2 linked regions of the Coturnix japonica genome follow. The protein of the gene in region 1 purifies or fractionates together with the protein of each later gene. This does not show direct contact. Links are inferred from orthologs where the notes say so. Each region holds a gene or a part of one and is shown on either strand. Other genes may lie near its edges. The genes, in order: GID8 and RMND5A.

Region 1 (3,005 bases):
ATTTGTTTTAGAAAAACAAAGTTAGTTTTCTTTATCTGTTTTTTCTCATTAAAACTATATAAATGTGGTTGGGGATGGGAGGGAGAAACAAAATAATGCAAATTCTTAAAATAGGAGCCCATTTGTGAAACAGATTTGTAGGTAAAACGTTTTTATTTCAGAGGGCTTTAAAGAAGCAGCAGAGAAATTTCGAATGGAGTCTGGAATTGAACCCAGCGTTGATTTAGAGACTCTCGATGAAAGAATAAAAATCAGAGAAATGATTCTGAAAGGACAGATTCAAGAAGCCATTTCATTAATAAACAGCCTCCATCCAGAACTGTTAGATACAAACAGATATCTCTACTTTCATTTGCAGGTAAGGACAAGTGGCCGTTTTTGTTTTAGAAGTTGTTAAGAAACTCTGGAAGAAGTGTGAGTTTAAGAGTATGTTAAGGGATTTGTGGCTGAACATAATTGCAGTTTCAAATGTTCGTTTTTGATATCATTTAATAGTTATGGGAAGATCTGTGGCATGGTACAACAACTGTCATATCATGTTAATTAGTAAGTTGGAAACTTTTAACAGTGGGAATGATCTGTGATTTACCAACTATTAATCTGGATTTCTGGTGGTTCCTTTAGAAACACATTTTCAAAACGTGTTATTTGGAAACCTCAGACTGCCTTTACTAGTAAATCTTGTTGGCAAATCTGTTACTTCTTAGATGTTTAGAAATGACCTTAAGCTTTCATGGTATGGATTAGTATTTGTCTCAAATTACATACAAATGACAGAAGATTATGGTCTCGAAATACTGGAGATTTGCTGCTTTGTTTAGCTAATATCACTGTGGTTTTTTTTTGTATGTAGCAGCAGCATTTGATTGAACTGATTCGGCAGCGTGAGACAGAAGCAGCTCTGGAATTTGCTCAGACCCAATTAGCAGAACAAGGCGAGGAGAGCCGGGAATGCCTGACAGAAATGGAGCGCACGCTGGCTTTGCTTGCCTTTGATAATCCTGAAGAATCACCATTTGGAGACTTGCTGAACATGATGCAGCGACAGAAGGTAGAATTTGCTCATAAGGAAGTCGATGTATTTTATTTGTGTGTGGTGAAAACCGTGTCCAAATATTTTTGAAATATATGGAAATGTGTATAGCTCTGTGCAAAAGAGCAGAAGTATTTCTTAAGCAGCATTCTAAAACCTGATGATGCCAATAATAGGCTGTTTGACTTTCTTCTTTGTTTCTCTAGGCTGTTGGTATATGGAGCTTTGTCCTGGCCTCATTCTGAGGAGTTAACAAGCTGTGTGTGATGTTATCAATGTCTCTGTAACATTACAAAGTGTTAATCATAGGCAAACTGTTACTAAACTCCAGTATTTCTTTTCCAGGTATGGAGTGAGGTTAATCAAGCTGTTCTAGACTATGAAAATCGTGAATCGACGCCCAAGTTGGCAAAATTACTGAAACTACTACTGTGGGCTCAGAACGAGCTAGACCAGAAGAAAGTGAAATACCCCAAAATGACAGACCTCAGCAAGGGGACAATTGAAGAACCCAAGTAAAATGTGTGCAGATGGACATCAAACAATCATAGTACTGCACAGTATACATTTATATCAGTCTGTGACTGAAATATTTTTACTACAGTACAGCACTCAATTCAGATTTTTCAATGAACATCTAATTTGAAGGGAGAAAAGTCCCTTTTGAATGCTGCAAAAACTGCATTGAAAGGCGCTGTATCTCTTTGAAAGTCTGACTTAGGCTATGCACTATAATACATTTTTAAAAGAAAACCAATTAAACAGGACAGGAAAAAATCACGTTTTTAAAAGTACAGAACTCAAGCTTTCTAATTGGCTACTGATGCTTAGTTGAGTGGTCAGTGAGTTAATACGGAGTTACATTGGCAATTATTCAGTTAAGTTAAACTGTCTCCTGTTTGAAATGTGTATATAGAACAGTGAATATTTTCTACCTTTAAGTTATAGCAAGATATACATTCCCCTTAAGAGTAACTGGTCATGTTTTCACCTATAAACTTTGCAGTAAGGTCAACCTTTTGCCTAGGAAATAGTGTACAAACTTGTAAATCTTAATTTAAGAACTTTTTTTTTTCCTTGTTTCTGACTTTTTGGTGCTTTATATGGTGAGAGCTATGTTCGTAATGGATCGGTGACCCATCTTTTCATGAGAAGTATTGTTGGAAATAAGTTTTTTTTCTTAATTTTCATGAATGACCAAAATGGCCCTCAGAGGCATTTGAGAGTTTTTCTTAAAGGGGACCTTTCCCTTCCATGTAGAGTTTGCAGCTGCAGACACTGCAGTGATTCCAGCAGGTTAGTAGAGCTTGGAGGGCCACCGGATTTTTGTAAGCTGAAAGACATACTTGTGTTAGGCAATGAAGTGGGGGGAGAGATACTTATGGAAGCCTCTGATGCATCTTCTTGTGCAGGATCTGCCTTTACTCACGCTGAATAAGAATTGTAGTTTTAGAGCTACTTGGGCTGTTTTTATGCCTTGAGCTGAGCAGAGCAGGGCTGTCTTTAAAGGCTGAAATGTCAACTTTTTTCGATTCTTTCCATACCTTTCTGAAGAGATACAGTTCATCTCCACCTGTATTACTTTGTTTACTGCCCGCCCTCACTCCAGTTAGGATTCTAGTTTTAATGTTTTACGTGTGAAGTCCAGACTTTCAAGTCAACAAATTGTAATCTTGTGGGTATGGGATGTTCAGGTCAACTTAATTTTGCAGCACTGTTCACTGGTATATATCCAGTGGTAGCACTAATCTTGCCAAATCAGTCTGTAGGTTTATAGGTCTGTATATCAAGTTATTAACGATTTGTTGAACAAAGACCGATCTGGTGGGTGAGGTAGCTGAACATCACGATGCACTGGCAGTTGTCATACCAGTCCCATACTGTACATAATCTAGTCTTGTATGGTAGATATTACCCTGTAGAATTAAACTTAGTTTTCACTTAATTTTACTGGAATACTTACGCATTAAAC
Region 2 (3,826 bases), on another chromosome or scaffold:
TTTCTGAAGCAGTAATATTTTGTCCAGAATGTGTCAAGAATCAATTTGCGACATCAATTACAGTTAATTACTGCTATTAGTTTCAGCTTAAGTATATTATAGGGAAGCAATGTGGAGAAGGCAATTTCAGTAGTTTTTGAGCACGTTTTCCAGCAGCATGGAGAAAATGCACTGAACATACATGGAAAGTTCCCTTCAGGTGTTACTGTCCAGGGTTTAAACTTTGCACTTTCATTTGACAAACATGCTGGGATTTCAGGATATACCTTCAAGTAGCAGTGAGAAGTGATAAATCCAAACTACTTGAATGCTGAACAGCTCCTATCTAAGGAGATAATCCTCACTGGTGCCCAGTAACGTGTCCTCAGCTCCCAGCAGGACAGGGGACACGTGCAGTTTCCACTGGAAGCCTTTTGTTGAAAACATTATAGACATGTAGCAAGAGCGAGAATCCAGGGGAACAAGCAGGTCACACAGTGCAAGTTGAGCTCTGTATGGAACAGCCCTCTGAAACAGCTTTTCTGACCCCTTACAGGCACACAGTAGATCACTGCATCCCTTCCTGCTGTTTATAAAACCAAGCACTTCAAATTTAACAAATGCTTTCATTTATAGCCGTTCTTTTTAAAATGAAACCAGTAGACAGAATGCTAAGACAGCAACATCGCTGTCAGAACTATGCACAAGACAAAGCAGCAGCAATTTGAATATCAGACTCAAGTCTCAACTTTATTAAGCTTGTATTCATTGTCTCCGTTGGCCTCTAAGAAATATTGCCACTAATTTCCATGGCAGATTTACACCCTTTATACAAGACCAAGGGCTGCTGTACCTCAGACTATTGAAATGAAAAAGGTACACCCAAATCTGAAAGCTTTTAATACACAGTCCACATGGTAAGGCAGAATAGGAAAGTTTCAAACAGAGGACAAGATTACATAGATTTATTTCAGGCTTCACACCAGTAATAAGGATGGAATTTTACTCTAGTTAATAGGTTTAGATGCAGCAGCAAGGATTAGAAGAGGCAGATGCACCCTTAAGCTTTGGATAACAGTGATGCTTGGATTAAAGCTATTAGTACAAAGTTTGAGCTCTCCATGATGGTCAATCATAAGCAAAACAATCCCAACAGCTGCACAGACGTTCTGCCCTACAATGCAGCACTATGCACTTCATCAGCTTGTTGTGTTACTGTTAAATGATGCTTTAATAGCTTACCACTACTAACAAAGTTGAAATGAGATACTCAAATGATGAATTAGTGCCCTGTAATGACACAAGTGTTTCTGTCCAGCTGAAAAGTTGTTTTTAATGAAAGTAGAATAAATTCAACCACAACGTTGTGAAATTAAGCCCTAAGAACCGATGACACATCTGATATATGTAAGGATGTCTGTCTCAAATTCTCTCAGCTTCTAAGCTGCCTTCAAGAACAGAATACTACTTCCTGGTCATTTGCCGTGGACAATTAATCAGAACTGAAACACACATCTATAAATAATACTCCTTATCAAGACTATTGTTGAGGCAAACATTTTGCTATGCAGATATAATACTTTCTGTTACCAGGTCTGGACCTCCATGCCACGTTCTCTTGTTAATGACAGATTCGAGCTGCTCCAAAATGAAGCACTCTGTATAGGAGTTCTGAAGTGCTGCTGCACACCCTATGCTCTTATGTCTACCTCCAACCCTACACTGCTGCAGCTGAAAGGAAGACTAAAGATGAACTGATCACAGTTCTGTGAGAGAGTATCTGTGATCACGGAATACATGCAGTAACACCATCAAGCCACAGTACACATACCTTATCAATGGCTTTTCCAACTCGGGATACACTGCTGTGAATGTCTTTGTGATCAGAGGCCAGTTTTTGAACTGTGTCCTTTATTCTTTTACAACACTGCGTCATAACAAGTGAAATTGTCCCTGACAAGTCTCCATCTTGATCTAAACGCAAAAGAGAGGAAAATTACCAACTCTGTTAGAAAGAAACAACTTAAATGACTCAACATGCAACATCATAAAGACAAGAGGTATTAAAAGAAAGAAATATGATTAGGAAGCATTGGTGAAGCTTAAATTAAGTAAAACACACAGGACATGGCTCAGCCCACGAGGAAACCAGTGTGGTACAGAAATAACACTCGGTAAGTGCAGCACTTTAAAAAGTAACATAAATATCTTGTGCATCCTACTTGAGTTCAGCAGATTAATAAACAGGTCTCCAAGAAACACCCCCAAACACACATAACAGGAAACTGACTCTAAACTGCTACAGGATCAGTTCCCTTCTAAACCTCTCCCTGAAGACACATCGGAGCACTGTGTTTAAAGTCAACAATGTGACAGCAAAGTTTGAATTAATGAGGTCCCAATTCACTCTCAACCTCAAACTACCTCCTTACTCCATAAGGTGTCAGCCTGCATTTGAGCTGTGCAAAACGTTTGCATCCTGAGCAGTGGGAACAGCCCCAAATAGTGCCATCAGTCTCAGCCTCTCCTTGAGGGATGCAAAATAACCCATAAAGGCCCTGAGTGTAGACATCAGGGTTCTAAGAACGAGTGGATGGTCAGGTAGGATTTATCTCTAGCAGTACAACGTTAAGCTCACCCAACAGTGCAGTGCTGTATGACCCGTGCTGGGGGCAATATAAATATGCAATGCTCACAACCCCCTTACCGTCTCCTCTCACCTAATTCACATCCCTCCTGCCACAACCAACAACAGCGTTAAAAGCATCCTTCTGTGCTTTACTGCTTTTGGTTTCTAACTTGCCAGCCTTACCTCTGCATGTCTCTCCTCTCTCTAACTTCATTCTACTTGAAGATGGATCCTTTTAGGCACACACACTCAGCACTTCAGCTCTACTGAAGGCTACTTTAAATAGACCAGCCCAGAAATGCTTTCTAACATCCCAGATCCAAACAATTCACGTGGAAAATAAAAACCCAAACCATTTCTCTGAAGATTTTAAAAAGCAAATCACTTCTTTCATCAAGTTTGTTCCCTTCTCATTCTGTACTTCAGCAGGTTTCTGGTTCGAGTGACACCTTAAGAGATCAGTTCCAATGCTGGCAAGCTGAGAACAATAGAAACAAACAGTAACTATTACAATGCACGCTTAACAATGTGCCTTGGAGAGGGCAAAGGAAACCCAGCTCACAAAGAACCATTCAGCAGCCCTTACTCTTAACGCCTTCTCTTATGCATCCCAACTTTCAACTCTGCTATTGGCATCAACAGCAGAAACAAGCTTATGTTGTTACATACTACAATTGATCACCCCTAGGTAAGTAAATAACTCCACACCCCCCATGCACCAAGTTTCTTTCTCTGGTTCCATGAAGACAATGTTAAGCTCTGACAGAGCTCTTCGTTTTTCCTATTGAGGATGGAAACAGTCCCTTGAGTGGACAGTCACCAATTTGGCTCAACACATCTCTTACCTTCAATAATAACCATTAGTTCTGTTACTGTTTACTTCTTGTGACAGGCATTTTAAACTTACATAAAGGATTAAGTAACTTTCTGGTGCCTTCTCCCAGGAAGTCGGATTATACCACAACCGAAACATAAGTGCTCGTTCCCCAAATCTGCCTCACCCAACAAACAGAGAAGATCAAACACATTAATTGCCTTTTTTTTTCCTAGAAAAGCCATTAAGCTAAAAGCCAAACAACTTATACACACACTACCTTTCTACCCCAAGCAAATAAGTGGATTATTGTCCCCTAACAGCAGAAACGCCATCAAATGTATATGAGGAAAAGATTTCTCCCCCTACACACATCTCTTTCTGCTTTAATTAAGCTCATGATT

The links.
Region 2: the proteins of GID8 (region 1) and RMND5A purify together in Homo sapiens (affinity purification with mass spectrometry; 5 studies listed by BioGRID and IntAct, counting the BioPlex papers as one, with this or other methods). This does not show direct contact. The link is inferred for Coturnix japonica from reciprocal best matches to the Homo sapiens genes GID8 and RMND5A.

The regions. Positions count from the first base shown.
Region 1 is NC_029535.1:7,559,499-7,562,503, forward strand, and holds part of GID8 (glucose-induced degradation protein 8 homolog), read left to right. Parts: intron 1-161; coding exon 162-358; intron 359-853; coding exon 854-1,051; intron 1,052-1,378; coding exon 1,379-1,552; 3' UTR 1,553-3,005. UniProt on the Homo sapiens protein: Core component of the CTLH E3 ubiquitin-protein ligase complex that selectively accepts ubiquitin from UBE2H and mediates ubiquitination and subsequent proteasomal degradation of the transcription factor HBP1.
Region 2 is NC_029519.1:77,632,636-77,636,461, reverse strand, and holds part of RMND5A (E3 ubiquitin-protein transferase RMND5A), read right to left. Parts: intron 3,098-3,826; exon of another isoform or gene 2,823-3,097; coding exon of another isoform or gene 2,792-2,822; intron 1,954-2,791; coding exon 1,811-1,953; intron 1-1,810.